Linked DNA regions of Arabidopsis thaliana. The protein of the gene in region 3 purifies or fractionates together with the protein of the main gene of each other region. This does not show direct contact. Each region holds a gene or a part of one and is shown on either strand. Other genes may lie near its edges.

Region 1 (5,862 bases), on a different chromosome or scaffold from region 3:
GCAAAGCCACATATCAAAGTAAACATGCGAGAGTCAATTCACTCTTTAAACAAACTAGGATCTCTCTCGATTTAAAGAAAAAGATATTGCAAGAGCTGTACCTGGAAATCAACAAATGCAACAGGAGTCCCATATGTACCCTGAATCTTCAGCTTCAAGAATCCACGGCATCTGAGAGGAAAGAGAGTGAAAACTATCTCTAGTGGTTACAGTTTTGCGTGGAGAATAGAGTATTCTTACCTCGAGAAAACTTGAATTAGCTCAGCTTCGGTGCAATTTGGTCCCATATTCGCTATGAAAAGTGTTGGACAAGGATCTGCCGCCTTACTCTGTCAAAGGAACAAAGATTGTCATGTTCACTGGTAAGAATAGTTTACCTCACTGTTTTTCGTCCAGACAGAAAACAATACTCATATGAAGTATAAAATAGGCAGAAGCTTACAGGTTTTCTAGAAGTCGGTGCCCTCCCAGCAACATTAGCAATTCCTTGACTGAACGAGCAAAAAGAATTTAATGAGACCCTGAGTTTCGTGAGCTAATAGCTAAGAAAGAACAAGCACTCTCGTAACCAGTATCTAGACATGTGAGCTAGGACTAGTTCAGCTAATCCTTAAGTAGGTCAGATTTTCAAGGCAGAGGTACAAGAAAAGAGTGTGCAACAAAGAAACAGAATCTAAGCATTCACAAGGAACTAGAAATGTGCTCAAGTAGTGCAGATGACCTTTGTGCAGGTGAATAACCAATTGTGTTGTAAGCAGAACTACTCATTCCAGGAGTTTGAAAGCTGCCAAAACCTGCTAGTGCCCAAACGTGCAAGAATGTGCAGTGTGAGTTTTCAGAAACGTGAAACCATGTTGACGGCACTTAAAGCCCAAGTGTGAAATCTTAAACCAAAAAGAGCTAGCATGCATGAGCGTGATGGTCATGAAGATTGGAAGTTTGAAAATATATATACTACACAAACATTCAGTTACAAGAAACATAAAATACAGAAGGTTACAAGAAGCCTCAAGATGAAGGTGTGTGCCAATGATCTTACCAGATTCAGTAGTAGTGTTCCAAGACTTGAGTTTTTTCAAGCTTTCCCAACCATCATCTACCATATCACAAAAATCACAAAATAAAAATTAACACAACAATAGCAAAGGTCAAATTTTTATTGAGCTACCGAACCGAAAGAATCCTACTACTTGCCTGTTCTTGAACGCTTAGATTTGGGATTTGATTTGGCAAGGTCAATGTGAAGAGTAGAATGCTTTTCAAGATCAAACACCATTCCCTGAAAGGTTCAGAAATAAAATTCAGAAAGTTTCTTAATCTAGGCAAATGACAAAGCTTATTCACTTACGCATACAAATCCCAACCGAATGATTTCAATTTACTAGATTGAATTAAGAACAACCATAAAGATACCAAATTTACTTAATGCTTTGTAAGTAGATACATCGGCGACACATTGCAAGAGCAAGTTTGAAGAAATTTGTACTCACATTGAGAGCATGCATCACCGCTACAGCTGATTGCAGATCCGAGAACACAGCAAATGCGAAGGGCTACCAAACAAATAAAGTAAGATTCTCAGTCTCTTCGCCGGGAAACATCATTACCCAAATCACAAATCCGGAGAGATAGAAAATGATTACCTTAGCTCCATCTGAGCTCCGGAGATGCGAAGTCTCATATCCTGGGAACTCACGAAAGAGATTGTAGATCTCCCGAGGCTTGACATCTTCAGGAAGTCCGGCGACGAAAAGCGTCCTAACCTCATCGCGAGCTCCAATTGAGACATGGGTAGGCAAATAGACGGAATGAGCTGAAGTAATTGGAATCGGAGAAACTCCCGGCGGCGGAGGAGGAACCATCGCCGGTAAATTATAGTGAGAATAGTAAGCTTCCAAATCATCCATTGACAACGACTTAATCTCGTGGCCGGTGAAAGTCGCAGTTTACAACGGAGAAGAAACTAATCGCGTTACTTAATGGGCCGTTTAAAGCCCATTTAAATATCGGCCTTTTTGACCCATTGTTCATCACCAGGCGTAGGATAATAGCATGTGGTTGCACACACTGTAACATAACACTCTCTCTCTTTTTTTCTTCTTCTTGATGACAATTGTTCCTATGTTCAAAGATCTGCAACTTCATTCATAACAGTTCTTTTTCTCTCGTTCTCTGGTTTAAAGCATAATGACGGAAGAGCTCATCGACCAATCACCACCACCTGACCCAGACCCGATTCAAAATTCGAATTTAATAATCCACCCAAGACGTGTTCCTTTCGAGCACGGCCTTCTTCCGATCCAGAAGCTCGTTTTTACCGACCCGATTCAAACTCTAGCTCCGATCAAGCAAAAGTTAGCTTCTTTGGCGACGAATCATCGCGTCGGATCTGCTGCCATTTCCGATGCACTCTCGATCTCCGATGACCATGCGCGCCTCGTTCTCGAAACTCTCTCTTCGGTGCTCCATTGCGAGACTGACCCATTGGTTTTGGCCAAACCTGAGGAAGTTGATTCCGTGGGAGCTGATTTGAGGGATCTGATATTGTTTCTCTACATTCAATCGTATAAGAAGTTATTGCCTAGGACGCATAAAGACTCTGCTTCTGTGGCTGATGTTTGGCCTTCGACTTCTGCTTTTGATGGATACTTGTCGGCATTATCTCCAATTCAGGCAAGCTTTTTTATTCTCTTAATCATGTAATGTGGCTCAAAACGTTATCTTGTGATCTATTTGGTTTAAAAAATTTCATTTTGCATTGGATTTTACTATAATTTTGCAATGCAAGTTAAATAATATTACGTTATCATTCAGAAACATATGAAAAGGATTGTCTGATATTTGAAATATTTTACCGATAATTGTTCTCATTACTGTTTCTATCATATGGGTAGAGACATCCTTGTAGCTGTTGAGTTTAAGTTAAATTTCCTTTCATCATCTTGCAGCTTGTTCGTAGCAACAGCCGTCGGTTTATGCCATCACCGACAGATGAAGAAGCTCATCAATTATCGTATCTGCAAAAGCACATTGCAAATATTATTTCTCTCCTTGCAGAGCCTGTGGAGGGACAAGGAGATGATTCTTTGGTATGTGCTAAACTTTTTTTATGTTTGTATCAGATGGATAGAAAATTTTATGTTGTGATGCAATATTATGGGAAATGGAAAAGAACGAATATCTCATGCTAGATGGTCCGAATCTCCTCCTCAGGTCCTGTCTATGGAGAGTTTGGAGCACATTGGGTTTCTTGTTCATTATGGTGATAAGGGATTTGATGTACCTTCTTTAAGCCAAGCTACTCCTTTTTTTGCGAATTCTGATCCTGATATGCCCGCTGTCCCCGTTCCTGCTTCCCAAGTGAATGATTGGCTTCTCAAAGACATAGCTTCCGCCTTAGAAAGCATTTCTAACAGAATCTCTGGGAAAGAAAATGGGGCATCTAATGCCTCTGATCAGAATGCTGCAATGGCTGATTCTAGTGTAGCTCTTAATAAAGTTTCATCTAACGACAGAGGTCCATGTATTATTGAGGGAGTCTCTAAGACCTCACTTTTCAAGCAGGCTTCTGATCTTAAGGGTAGATCAGTGAAGGTCCGTATTGAACAACTAATTTGCATTTTAAACAGCAATCCCTCATTTAGTTTCGTTTACTCATGTATGCACGTCAATTGCATGTTTTGTGTATTCTGCAGGTTGCCAATTGCCATGATTCTGTTATTTATCTGTTAGCGCCATTGAGATATGCAACTGTGTATGGGTGTTCTGATTCTACTATCGTTCTGGGAGCTGCTGGCAAGGTACGGCAAATATACTCCTTTCTGTTTTAGTCTTTGTTAGCGAGGTTCAGGTTAGAATGCAGTGATAATATTTTATGTTCTTTGCAGGCAGTAAAAGTTGAGCATTGTGAGAGAGTTCATGTGATTGTAGCTACCAAACGAATTTGCATCGCCAATTGCCGTGAATGTGTGTTCTTTTTGGGAGTCAATCAGCGACCTCTTATAGTTGGTGATAACCACAAACTACAGGTGATATGTCTATTTAAGATTGAGCTGCATACATAACTCTTCTTTCCCGCCCTGATATTCAGCTGAAATTAATAAATAGACTACAGTTTTTCTTTTAACTCTAGGCTAAATCTTTCCTGTGTTAATATCCTGGTATAGTCATGATCGTATTAATGGTTCCTGGTGTTTGGAAAATTGAGCATGCTGTTAAAGTCACTTCTTCAACTGAGTTAAGTGGAAACATCTTCTGATGTGTTGTCTATAACTGTTGGCATCAATGTGACTGTTATCTGTTCCAGGTTGCTCCATATAATACATTTTACTCACACTTGGAGGAGCACATAACCGAGGTAGGAATTCAGCCAACTATCAACAAATGGAACGAATCCTTGGCGCTCGGAGCAATTGATCCGCATGACTCACTATCACATCCGACTGGTGCCTCTGATAAACAAGCTGAACCGGCTTCTTGTGTGGACCCTGACCAGTTCACTACCTTTTTGGTTAGATTCCCCTTTTTGTTAGTTTAATTTTCCTCTAGTAACTAGTGATATTGGTTATTAAGATTGTGTTCGTGGGTTAATTTCTCACATCAATGTCTCTGGTTCAGATCCCAAACTGGTTTGCGGGTGAGGCGATTGGTTCCACGAAAGACAATCCATTTCCATTGCCAGATGCATATAAGGCAGTGCAGCAGACAAACGTATGTTTTTTATTTGCTTTCCGCATAAAATTGCTCGTTTCTTTTTCATCCATACTTCAGCATCTGATCCCTTAACTGTGTTTTGGTTTTGAGCAGCTTAAGAACTTAGAGGAAACAAGACAATCCTTGAGAGAAACACCTCTCGAAGAAAACCGAAAACGAGAACTCACTACAGCGTTCCACATGTATTTCAAAGACTGGCTATACGGTAATCAAATAAAATCCCCATTCTAGTTCATTTACTCCTTTGGCCAGCCAATGATCTATATGTATCTCTTTCTTTTGGTGACAGCGACGGGAAATATTCGGCAACTTTACTGCCTACAAGGCGATTAAGACCAATGGCGATTGAAAATGTCAGAGTCACTGTAGAGTTCTCTTGATCCGTTCCTTCTCAGAGATTTGCTAGCACGTTTGACATCAGAATTTAACTGCACAGCACGCTCTCTAACTCCTAAAGCTCTGTTTTTTTGTGTGTAGGTTTCTCTCTGCTTTTATCGTATTTATTAGTCTTAAATATCCACGTTTTTGTCCTTGAAAAACATTAAGCCATCTTGTCTTGTTGTTGATTTCTTTCAATTGTTATAACAACTTTTCTCAATACCATATATATAAATCTTTTAGTAACTACTACTTGGGAATTTTAAATATTTTGAATTTTCTCTTAAGCATCACATTCAAAACAGGCAGAAAATGTGAAAACATGTCTGCCTCAATTGTTTTCTTTGTCTTGTCTTAGCTTGTTGGAGGAAAGAGCTTCTCTGCTTGGTCCGGGAAGAACTGTATGAACAAATAAGCACCTGCAAGTTCAACAAAGTCTTACTCATAACCAAAGGAAAGACCAAACAACATTCTCTATATTCTTCAGCTCTATGTAAATTAAACTTACAGACGAGTACTGTCCCTAAGACTGCTGAGATCTTGCCTTGAATTGTGATAAGCCCTGCTTTGCCTGCATTCTGCAACTCAGTGGAACCGACGGATTCAAATGTCCCTAAAGTCGCAACAACAGTAAATCCGATTCATTATCCTTCTCAAACCAAACTATCTCCAAAACCCCTCAAGAAATGATCTTAGATGAAACCAAATGGGATCAAACCTGGTTTTACAGATTGTAGCCCTGATGTTACACAAGCAATGTTTTCGTAACCT
Region 2 (6,029 bases), on a different chromosome or scaffold from region 3:
GAAGCGGATATCCGGAAAAATTATGATATTTGTTATTCGATTCGTTTTAAACGAATACTTGATTTTGTGATTCGCTTTACTTCGAAAATTTCCAGATATCCGGAATTTCGAATATCCGGAATTTTTTGTGATATTTGCGGATATCCGCTTTGATACATTTAAATATTAAAAAAATATGTATACTATATAACTATATCATATATTCAAAAAATTTATCCGTGCGTTCCTTAATTGGTGTCTCCGTGTGCTTTTAAAATAAGTTCTAAATACCAAACATAACCGTTGTTGGTATCACCGGTCAACAAAATATTATCAAACTAATTCCAAAACTAAAACCCGATAGTTTTTTGATGCCATTGATCAAAACATAACATAAAAAAAAATGATCAAACAAACATCTTAACATAAAAACATAAAATGACAACAATACACAAACTATTTATGATATCTATATATAGATATACTATATTTTCTAATATATATAAAAAGATACGGATCGAAGCGGATATTCGATTTTTTAAAAAACAATATTTATTATTTGATTCGATTTTTACGAATACTATATTTTTCTATTTGCTTTGCTCCAAAATCTTACGAATATTCGGATTTTTCGAATCAAATTAAATCAAATACCGAATCGAAACGGATCAAATCAAATCAAATCAGAATATTGAGCTAGCTGAATGAATGAGATAACCTAAGAATCCAAAAGTTGATAGTGTTCCCTTTCCGAATTCCAATAGTAGCTTGATAACATTTATTTAACGGCGATAAATTCAACCGTTAGTTTGATTACCAATCAAATAATTGCTTGCAATAGACGGATGAAACGAGTGGTAAGAATAGGTGATTGAAACAAACGGTTAAAAGCTTAAACAAAATAGGTGAGTTTGCAACCTCTCTTGTTCACCATTGGAATATTTTAGTTATTTAACGTTTCTTAGATTTTTAAAACTGTAATGTATTTGAATTATTTACTAAAGAGTTTTGTTTTTCTTTGTTTTTTAAATATTTTTAGTTATTTATTAAATATTTTAATTTAGTTTTTTTTTTTTACTGTTTAACCGTTTGTTACTAATCATAACTATTATTTAACGGTTCATTTTAAATTATTTATCATTTTTTCTTTTAATATATTTTCTAACCGTTTTTTTTTATCAGTCTTTTTTGTAAGTGTTAAATAAAATAACCGCCTTATTTAAACGATATTACCAATTGGTTTAATTTTAGGTTGTTCATCTTTTCTAACCGTTTTTTTCTACCCGCCTTTTTCTGTAACTGCTAAAAAACATAACCGTCTCATTTAAACGATGTTTACCCATTGCAAACCATTTTCCTTAAACAAGCGGACAATATTTAAATTGCAATGAAAGCGAGTTATGAGTTCTTTTGGCCTAAACTTCCCAATTTTATCTCTCTTTTTCCCACTAATCTTCTAACAATTTTAATTAACAGTGACAACTTACAAGTACTTAGGTAACCAAGTATATTTCCCTATTGTAAAACCTAATTATGAGTTGTGATGATCACCTTTTCTCCTTTTGACGAACGCTTAGGACCTAACTTATTGCAACAATGGCCTAACTAAAACTTAAATGCGATTTGCATTCAATTCTCAAATGGGCCTCTTTAGTTAACATGTTATCTCCGTTCATCTGACGTGTCATAGCTCAGATCAAAGGTTAATCTACTCGTAAATCCAACGACCAAAGAAACGAAGCGTACGTTACTAACATACACGTGCACGCACTGTAACCATCTCTCTCTCTGCTCTTCTCCTTCAATGAAATGATTCGTCACCCAAAGAAAGATCTGCAACTTCACCACCGGACCAGTCTCTCTCTATCTCTTCTGTCTCTCTACCTCGCGCGACGAATCAATCATGACTGAAGAACAAGACCTCATCGACCAATCACCACCACCTTCAGCACCCGACCCTGAACCAAACTCGAGCACGAATCCGAATTCAGTAATCCATCCAAGGCGTGTGTCTTTCGAGCACGGACTCCTCCCGATCCAGAAACTCGTTTTCACCGACCCGATCCAAACCTTAGCCCCTGTCAAGCAGAAGCTAGCCGATGCGGCTTCGAATAACCGCGTTGGATCGGCTGCAATCGCCGACGTTCTCCAGATCTCCGGCGACCATGCGCGTCTCGTTCTCGAGACTCTCGGTTCGGTGCTTCATTCCGAGTCTGACCCTCTGGTTCGGGCGAAACCTGAGGAAGTTGATTCCGTCGGAGCTGATTTGCGGGATCTTATTTTGTTCCTGTACATTCAATCGTATAAGAAGTTGCTTCCTAGGACGCATAAGGACTCCGCAGCGGTGGCTGATGTTTGGCCATCGACTTCAGCTTTTGATGGATACTTGTCTGCGTTATCGCCAATTCAGGCAAGTTTCTTACTTTTTTTGGCCCTCTTATTATAATGTGCCTCAATCCCAGCGCCTGCGATTTGTTTGGTATTGAAATGGAACTGTTGTACTCGAGTATGGAATTGGAACGTGGTAGAGAATAACTTATTTCCATTTCGCATTGTATTTAACTAAAATTTGCAATGCAAGTTTAAGTTTTCTGAGTCATTTGATTTACCTGAAACTTAGAGTTAAGCAATGTCGGAAATTTGGGTGATTAATTGAATTGATGGTGGCTATAGTTTCGTAACAATTCTCAATGAGGAAGATGCTTACTTGTATTTAATTGCCAGTCCCCTTTCTCTGATGACTCTGGGGCAATGGTAATTGGTTAGTTTACTAACTAAAGTCAAACAGTCGCCAGCTTGCTTTGTTTTGTGGTTCGGAATCTGATTCTTTTTCCGTTGTACCTTATTTTGTTTGGTCCTTTCACGTGGTTTATTTGGTGATAATGCTTGGTGTGTTCTTGAATTTTGACTCGGGTCTCCAGTCCTGTAATATTCTGTTTCCTGTGTGGTATGGATGTTCTATTGAGTCTTTTAGAAAACAGTCATATAATCTTAAGCTTTTCAGTGTTTTCTACAGTCACTGTTCTTTGGTATTCTATCGTTTCTCATCACATGGGTCGAACCAACTTTATTGGAGCTAAAATTGTTATTTATATCTCCTTTTCATCATTTCTGCAGCTTGTTCGCAGCAACAGCCGTCGATTTATGCCATCACAGGCAGATGATGAAGCTCATCAGTTGTCATATCTGCAAAAACATTTAGCAAACATCATTTCTCTCCTTGCAGAGCCTGTGGAGGGAGAAGGAGATGAATCATTGGTAAGTTCTAATCTTTCTTATATTCTCAGGGGGTGTCACTGTTCTAAGCTACAAGAATATAAAATTCTGATGTTGGAATAAGAATTTTTTAGGAAATGAAAGAGAACACAAGTTAATTTTTTTTTTCTTGTCCAATATCGTTCAGGTTTTCTCTATGGAGGCGTTCGAGCATCTGCGTTTTCTTGTTCAGTTTGGTGATAAGGGATCTGATGTATCTCCATTGAGCCAAGCTACTCCTTTTTTTGCAAATTCTGATCCGGATATGCCCGCTGTTCCAGTCCCCGCTTCCCAAGTGCATGACTGGCTTCTGCAAAACATAGCTTCCGCTTTAGAAAGCATTACTGAGAGAATTTCTGGAAAAGAGAACGGACCTTCTAACGATCAAGATGATGCGATGTCAGATGTTTGTGCTGCTCCGAACAAGGTTGCACCTAGTACTAGAGGCCCGTGTTTAATCGAGGGAGTCTCCAAGACTTCACTTGTTAAGCAAGCCTCCGATCTAAGGGGTAGATCTGTGAAGGTCTGACTGTTCCTTGTTCCGTTTTTCTTCCAGTCATGGAATCTCTGTGCAAGCATGTCAACTCCTTGTTTTGTGTATTTTTCAGGTTGTCAATTGCCATGATTCTGTAATTTATCTTTTAGCACCATTGCGATATGCAACTGTGCACGGATGTTCTGATACTACTATAGTTTTGGGAGCTGTTGGCAAGGTATGGAAACAATGCTTCTTCCTTCTTTATCTTTTCTGAAGATAGTCAAAGCAACATTTAACAAGTTATAATATCTGCCAACTTTTATTAAAAGATGTATCAAACATAATTCCGTATTTATTTCTGCAGGCAATAAAAGTTGAGCACTGTGAAAGAGTTCATGTGATTGTAGCTGCCAAACGAGTGTGCATTGCCAATTGTCGTGAATGTGTATTCTTCTTGGGAGTCAATCAGCGGCCACTTATTGTTGGTGATAACCACAAACTGCAGGTGAAGCTTCTCTTTAAGATTGTGGTTTAATTTACAAGTTTTATGTCATGTTGCTCTTATTTACCTTTCTGATATTAAGGTAAAAAAAATTGAGTGGCTAGACTTTTTACTAGATTTAGTTTGGTTAGTTTGGTTAATAAGCCGTTTCGGACACGTCATCAAGTCTAGTGGAAACAAACTTGGAGGGGTGGCTAGACTGCTGCTAGATACGTTTAGTCAAATGTTTTCCTCAAGAAGGTTTTACTGGTTTTTAAGAGTGCGGGCATTGTCAGATATTGCTTCTAGTGATTATGGGCTTCTATTTTTAAAGTGCTGGCATCAATTTGACTTTGTTTCAGGTCGCTCCATATAATACATTTTACTCTCATTTGGAAGAGCACATGAGGGAGGTAGGGCTTGAGCCAACGATCAACAAATGGGACAAACCATTGGCCCTGGGAGCTGTGGATCCACATGACTCCCTGTCACATCCTGCCGGTGTTGCTGATGCACAGGCTGAATCAGCTGCTTCTGTAGACCCTGACCAGTTCGTAAACTTTTTGGTACATTTTCTATTTGGGTCTAACATTTACGTCAATAATTGGTGAATGCTTTTCAGTGTCATGAAGCATCTAATGACGTGTTTTTCGGTGGTATCAATGACAATGGCACAGATCCCAAACTGGTTTAGCGGCGCGGAGCTTGGTTCGACGAAAGACAATCCATTTCCATTGCCAGATGCTTATATGGCAGCTCAGCAGAGAAACGTATGTTTTAAAGTTATACTTAACCAGATAAACAAATGCATTTGTTATTTTTGTCCATATCTGATCTTGTATCTGCAATTTTTTTTGTCATCAGCTTAAGAACTTTGAAGAAACAAGACGATCGTTAAAAGAGGCGCCTCTAGAAGAAAACCGGAAACGAGAGCTATCAAGTGCACTCCATGTTTATTTCAAAGACTGGCTTTACGGTAAGAAAACTTTCTCTGAATCGATCCCTACTTTACTTTATTGATATGCATCATTCATTAGGTTTTGACTTAGTCTATGTTTTTGTTGCGACAGCATCTGGAAATATAAGGCAACTCTACTGCCTACAAGGTGACTAATAAGAATAATAGACCAAGCGGAAAGTGTCTTGTTCATGTAGAGCTCCTTCGATCATATTTGGCATATTGCTAGTGAAGAAACCCCACCCCAAGACCAAAAGAAAAAAGAAAAAAGAGAAATCAGCCTGATTCAGTGATTTGTAGTTTGGAACCAATACTTCACAACGTAACTTATCTGCACAGAAATACTCTCTTAAAGCTTTCGTTTAGATTATTGTTTTCTTGATTTCTGCTTTTCTTTCCTTGACATTTCAATCCATCGTTTTTGTTCCCTTCTCTATTGAAAATCTCATCTTCAAATAGAGCATGATGACTTGAATTGTTATAAGTTATAACTTGTAAGCAAAACTGTTTTGATAGATAGTCTTGTCTTGGTCAAATAGATTTAAGTGGACGCAAGAGTTAGGCTACTACCATGGTAGGTGCAAATTTCTGAAGAAGTTTTAGAGCTCCAAAATTTCTCATATTTGCAGAATCTCATATTCGTAGAAACATCCAAACAATGCAACATAACATGAACATCTCAAGATACAAAAACAGAAGGACATGGGATGGAACAGAGATATCCATGAGCGCAGGATCCAGCTAATAATGAGTTCTTGCTACTTTAGTCATTGTAATGTGTGCTCCATTGAAGAAATCTCTCTTAGCTCTAAAGTTCTGCACCAACTGTTCAACACCAATGAACACCTCCAATGGCAGCAAAAGTCAGCCCGTGGCTT
Region 3 (5,990 bases):
TATAGATCACCTAAAAAATACTTAACTTTCAGAAAGATGATATCATATAGTAGAAATTAAGATTCAATAATTCTTTTACACCGTAGTTACCACAAATCTTTGGAAACAAGAATTCAACTCGAAATATAAGCCACTAAGTTGTTTTTTACCAAAATATCTATAAAAACTTAGTTTCGATAGCACTTAATTTAATTTTTAATATGAATCTAAATTTAAAGAGTTATTAAGTATACAATTACTGTTTTTTTCTCGGTATTTTGTATTAAAAAAAAAAACTCTACTATCAACTATGAGAAAAAAAACAACTATAAACTATTGTAGAGATTAGGAAATCATTAGAGATACAATTGGGACCAGTAAAATACTAAATACGAATTTTGAAAGATAATAATAGAAAATCATACTGGCCACGATTAGTTCGGACGTGTTTATATCTATTATCCAAGTTGCGAAATGGCTTGCATGTAGGAACCAAACGGCGCATCCGGCAATGGTTGCAATATTGAAAAACTTTTTAAAATTAAATGTTTTGATGAGAGAGATGGTGTTTGCATTCCATTGACAACTAAACTCGTGAAAACATTGTAACAACATATATACAATGAGGACATTATGTTTGTTTAACTGATCTTTATCTGAAACCGAACCGATCCGAGTAAGTATTAAAATACAATTCTGAAAAGTAAACTAATTTGATTTCATTTTACTGATTCTTTAGAGATCCTAGATTCATATGTTTTTTATATAAAATCCAAATCAAAGTTCAAAACTGTATCAAACAAATCCGAATGGTGTTTAGTTTCCATTCACCCTTATATATCATAAACCGAACAAATTAATAAACCAAATAATGTTATCCGAAAATCAAGGGCCCCATACCCTAGCTTCCTTTTTTTTTTTGATTATATTACTCATTATTGGTCCGCTTTTTATAGTGAGAGCTTACCATAAAATTCTCAAAAGGGGACCTCAAGTGAGTCGTCCCATGCTTCAGCACTTCCATTAGAAGCATCTTCGACATCTTCTTCCATTGATAGCCTAATATATTCTCTATGAGCAAAACGATCCCACTCTGTCCATGTCGGATTTGCGCGCTCCTATGTATCAGCAATCAATCATTGAGAAATGAATATCTCTATAAGTATGTATAGCTAGCTTTAAGGTATTTACTATATTTTGTGATACCTGGCGGATGAGGAAGGGATCACGCGTTTCAAACGCCATAAACTTGTTGAGGTTAAAAAGTATGTTGAAGACATTTCCAGAAAGTTTAGAACCCTTCAAATCATTTAGACAAATGAACCCTTCGTCCTCTGGTTTGACCATGTCGAATAATTGGCACAAAATATCCTCAAACAACACCGCCTCTTGCGCCATGCATTCCATTCTATGTAGCTGCTCCTCGTAAAAGAATTGCAGCTCGTTCCGCGTCAAAACTCCATTTGCATCCAAATCAATGCACTTGAACCTATATCATCAAACATTAATAACAGAATATAGCTCTTACCAAATAACACCGACACAAAGACTCTATATGTATGAAAACATTCACCATTCTCACCAATACTCAAGACTAGGTTCTGATGACTTGTCTTCTTCAGCCAATATGAAGTAAACAAAATCCTCATAACCCATCTTTCCTTCGGTTTTACTAGTAAACTTCCTCGGTACCTATTAAGTAGACCGAGTGACAAAGACATTCGGCAGCTAGTAGAAAAAAGTTTTTTAAAAATAAGAAATGCAGATGTGGAGTAGCTAACCTGTGAAAAGATTCGATCGACAATCCTATAGGTGAGCGCATGGTTACTATATCGGATGAGATTCTCTTTGTCGATTAAGAAATCATGATCTGTATCCAACTCCCAGAACTTGCAGTATATGACATAGAAATGTTCATACGAGAAGTACCTAATAAACAGTAGAGAGTCTTAATAAAAGCCGTTAATAAGCACCAATTTCATATTACTAATTAATCTTAAGACACCAACCTCAACACCTTATTGATGTCCTCTTCTTCATCGGCATGCTGCATTGCGTCAACTAAATTTCCTCGCTTAAGCTCTCTCAAGGTAAGATGCCCATTTCCACTCCTATTTATGTAGTAATATATTCTGTATATTACAGTTTCAGCTGTTGCCAAAAGTTTTTCAAATACATTACAATGGATCATATACTCAACTTTACATTCACCACATCTCATTTTAGATTTTTGTTCTATCTAATGTAAACATATCTTACTATTTCAGCAAAACTGTAAAAAAACAAACCGAACTAAAGATCACTTCATATTCTTGCACTAACCATATCTATCCTGAAATTCCGGTGTGCCTTGCAAGAATTCAAGACCAGGGTGTGTTGCCAATAATTCTTGAAGCACTGGCTTGAAATCATCCTGTCAATATCTCAAGAAGTTGAGAACTCTCGAGTATAATTCCAGAAAAATAATAGTTGATACATATACAAAGAGAAGGATAAATAATTAAATCATCTACCAATGTGGCAAAAAAAGGGTGATATATATATAGTGCAGCTACAAAAACCAACCTGGACAAGGTAGTTGTGATCTGGCTGCTTCAATATTGTAAATACTTGACTTGTTATCTCCTTTGTTAACATATTTCCCTTAACCCAATAATCAATGAAGTCTTCTCTGCAAAGAAGTTGGCAAAAGCATAATATATAACATGTGTTAAACAATTCATAGGTATTTATATTATGATCTCTGAACTTTATATACATTTCGTTTCACTAATCAAACTCTGTAGCTAAACATGAAAAAATTTGCAAACCTTTTCACAAAACCAGTGTTATTGGTATCAACTTTCTTGAAAATGGAGGTGGAAAAAAATGATGGAACTTTGCATATTTCAGTAGTGACTAATTTAAATTCTGAGAAACAAAAGAGGAAATTAGTCATTATAAATGAGATATGAAGATATATCTAATTAAAAGAGAAATTAATTACCAACCTTGGAGTTGCAAACCATCCTCGTGGCCATAGAAAAGACTATTGATCTTAGCTATGCACTGCTCTTTTAGATCATTTGGTGGTGGCCGACCATCTTCAAAGTAAAACTATACATTACATGAATACATAATAGAATCACTTTAGTACAACAAAAAATTGCCGAGAGAGACTATATACGATAATAAAATCAAAGGTGGATCAAAATGTTAGACCTGAGGAATGAGTTCTTTAACATGATCAGAAACTACTTTGAGAGGAGAACTAAGATTTGATAGTCCAGTTCTTTGTCTGGCGATCCGAGGAGAACCAGTTGAATTCCTTGGAGAAAGAGGAGGCCCATTGCGTGCCGGAAACATTGAAGCTAATGGACTATTCGACCCTGAATTCGTGCCAGAAGAGCCTCCTCCACACATAACATTCAAAGCCACTCCTGCCTTTGCATCATTTACCAAAGATGTAACCTGTAATCATTCATACCAATATTCCTTAGTTCCATATACCAAAACACATATTATCCTACGAGTTTGCACTAATGTCGTCGTTATGTCACCATTGGGACTCAACAAAAAAAAAAAGCACATATCATCCAAAAAATTTAAAGACATTACAAAACTTATTTCTTAATTTCATATCTCCAGAATCATATATTCCTAGTGATTTTTGCTAGTTCGTTGTGTTACCGTCCGGATTCATACCCCACATATTTCTTAATTTCATATCTCCATAGTCATCTTATTCTAGTGATTTGTGCTAGTGCGGTCATTATGTCACCATTAAAGAAAATACATATTATGATACAAGAAAAATGGAAGAAACATTTACCAAACGATTGGTTTCAGGAAGAGCAAGCCATTGATCAAAGAGCTTCTTAACAAAATCTTGATTAGATTTCATCGACATTGGCGATGTCTCTGGTAACTGCAACAGCTCTATATCTAACGTTATCGACTCCATTGTTTGATCTTTCTTCCTTCAAAACTGTGATCAAATTCTCAAAATCCTATTTCTTCAACAAGATTGCTTGATAAGAGAAAGTGAGAGAGTATTTATGATACATTTGTAGCAGTGTTTGTATTGATCGTATAATATTAAAAAAAAATATGATTCAATTCAGAAAAAGGGAAGAAAAGGTATAGTAGATCCGTGAGATGCTGGAGGAGGATTAGCTTTGAAAGTTGCAGAAATTTAAGGGTCGATGGAGAGAGAGAGGAAAAGGGTAACACACTCATTATTAATTAACGTTTTTTCTTCAGTCAAAAGTCAATAAACTATAATTAGTAAAATGTTGAAAAGATGAACTTTACTAAAAAATTGTACTGTTGACTTGGTTATTAATATTAGTGTAGTCTATACTACTAATTAACTAGTTGGCACGTCGAGCAACAAATACAGATCACAAGCTTCTTACATTTGCAATTAAAATTTTGAGTCTCCATGACATTATCAACTTTCTTTTTAAACTAGTGCTAGCCTAAGCTAAGCATCAATTTTATAGACATCATAATAACCAAATAACGTTTTTTTTAACGCAAGGCAGACGAGATTCTATGCATCATAGTAGAATTTCCCATTTACCAAATATTTTAGCTTTTTTTTTGAATTGGGTGTGACTAATAAGAAAGGCTAAATTAGGAGGAAAGATTATAAGAAGAAATATTTTTTTAGAGTTAATTTTTTAACAATGTAACAAATAATCACGAGAGTTTTTTTTATTTCATATCAAAAATATATTTTTGATAATTAAAAAAAAACATACATTGTTTGTTAATCTTATATTAATAAATCTTTATATTTGTATTTTTCTTTATATATACTTACATAAATATTCTCTAACCCGATGGTTAAGCAATCTTTTTTATTTATATTTATGTTTAAATAATAAAATATATACAATTGGTTCAAGAATAACGAATTCAAAACTACAAAATCTCTACATCTCTCATAAACTTTTATATCTATTGTACTTAGAAAAATAAAACATACAAACACAATGAAATTATATAAATAGATGTCGCTCAGCTTAACCATTAATCTAGTTATAATAATTGGGAATTTGGGATCCATACAACAACAACTTTAATATACATTTCACATTAATTGTCAAACAGATAAGAAAAGATCATACGAAAATAGAGCAGCTGATTTTAGCAATCAAATTTAGAACAATCAATCTGCAGAACATTAGACAACAAACAAACAAACAAACTTTAAACTTGTTCTTTCACTCTAAAACCTGTTCTTCTCCTTGCAGTTGCTTCTCACCATTTTTCTTGTTTTTCTCATTCACCAAAGTTAGTCAAAACGAAACTACAACTACGCGAAGCTTCACTCCTCCACAACACCAACGCCATTCTCACCAGTCTCTCCATCATGGCCACTATTAAACATTTCATGTACTTCTTCAGACTTTGGTGTTCCCTTTTTGGACTTTCTCATCTGATCTTTGCTGCTGCTATTTGGTGTCCTTGGGACACTGTTCGTTTTGACTTCATCCTTGCAACCACCTACACTGTGACGATGTCGAGCACAATGCTTCCCCTTCACTTCCTGATATGATGCGTTAACTGTGTCGCTGCAGCTCTTTCTACGGTTAAGGTTTGGTGACTTAGGCCGAGTCAATGGAAACTGCAAATCAAACAATCATAGAAAGTTAAAATCTCCGCGTTTGGAATCATTCCTACCGTAGACTACTAGAGCCCATATAACCAAAATCCAACATCTGAATACAGAAATTCAGCAACTTCTGTTACCATGAATAAAGTGAATTCACAATTGTGGTAGTGAGTTACTGCTTAAAATTAAAATAAAAACAAAGCTAAAGTGACCATAGACGTAGTTGAGTAGGATAAGCTGTTTGTGGTGAGGATAAGCCTATCTTACCCGATCACAAGAAAAGAAAACTAAATGTTGAATCTCATCATTCAATATGTTTTCAGTCTTGGACAAGCAATAAAATGAATCAAAGTGGGCGTAAAAAAGGTAAGTGAAGACAGTGAGGTTTCGTTCCATACCTTTTTCAATG

What was found.
Region 1: the proteins of AT1G54450 (region 3) and AT2G42230 fractionate together in Arabidopsis thaliana (co-fractionation; one large-scale study listed by BioGRID). This does not show direct contact.
Region 2: the proteins of AT1G54450 (region 3) and AT3G57890 fractionate together in Arabidopsis thaliana (co-fractionation; one large-scale study listed by BioGRID). This does not show direct contact.

Annotation. Positions count from the first base shown.
Region 1 is NC_003071.7:17,592,889-17,598,750, reverse strand, and holds AT2G42230 (C-CAP/cofactor C-like domain-containing protein), read left to right. Parts: upstream 1-2,085; 5' UTR 2,086-2,187; coding exon 2,188-2,673; exon of another isoform or gene 2,674-2,853; intron 2,854-2,948; coding exon 2,949-3,089; intron 3,090-3,213; coding exon 3,214-3,594; intron 3,595-3,695; coding exon 3,696-3,800; intron 3,801-3,887; coding exon 3,888-4,028; intron 4,029-4,166; coding exon of another isoform or gene 4,167-4,172; intron 4,173-4,306; coding exon 4,307-4,510; intron 4,511-4,617; coding exon 4,618-4,710; intron 4,711-4,806; coding exon 4,807-4,918; intron 4,919-5,002; coding exon 5,003-5,046; 3' UTR 5,047-5,340; downstream 5,341-5,862. Other genes in the region: AT2G42240 (RNA-binding (RRM/RBD/RNP motifs) family protein), read right to left, coding at 102-171, 241-329, 443-491, 722-794, 1,040-1,096, 1,195-1,279, 1,491-1,553, 1,644-1,907; AT2G42220 (Rhodanese/Cell cycle control phosphatase superfamily protein), read right to left, coding at 5,446-5,510, 5,600-5,704, 5,810-5,862.
Region 2 is NC_003074.8:21,436,389-21,442,417, forward strand, and holds AT3G57890 (Tubulin binding cofactor C domain-containing protein), read left to right. Parts: upstream 1-1,695; 5' UTR 1,696-1,882; coding exon 1,883-2,389; intron 2,390-2,900; coding exon 2,901-3,008; intron 3,009-3,096; coding exon 3,097-3,237; intron 3,238-3,382; coding exon 3,383-3,757; intron 3,758-3,842; coding exon 3,843-3,947; intron 3,948-4,076; coding exon 4,077-4,217; intron 4,218-4,555; coding exon 4,556-4,759; intron 4,760-4,870; coding exon 4,871-4,963; intron 4,964-5,057; coding exon 5,058-5,169; intron 5,170-5,263; coding exon 5,264-5,307; 3' UTR 5,308-5,500; downstream 5,501-6,029. Other genes in the region: AT3G57900 (import inner membrane translocase subunit Tim17/Tim22/Tim23 family protein), read right to left, coding at 5,893-5,997.
Region 3 is NC_003070.9:20,335,614-20,341,603, forward strand, and holds AT1G54450 (Calcium-binding EF-hand family protein), read right to left. Parts: upstream 4,157-5,990; 5' UTR 3,923-4,156; coding exon 3,791-3,922; intron 3,430-3,790; coding exon 3,181-3,429; intron 3,076-3,180; coding exon 2,970-3,075; intron 2,890-2,969; coding exon 2,790-2,889; intron 2,651-2,789; coding exon 2,545-2,650; intron 2,393-2,544; coding exon 2,302-2,392; intron 2,131-2,301; coding exon 1,989-2,130; intron 1,909-1,988; coding exon 1,761-1,908; intron 1,672-1,760; coding exon 1,562-1,671; intron 1,469-1,561; coding exon 1,186-1,468; intron 1,098-1,185; coding exon 957-1,097; 3' UTR 590-956; downstream 1-589. Other genes in the region: AT1G54460 (TPX2 (targeting protein for Xklp2) protein family), read right to left, coding at 5,294-5,593, 5,980-5,990. UniProt on the Arabidopsis thaliana protein: Probable regulatory subunit of type 2A protein phosphatase.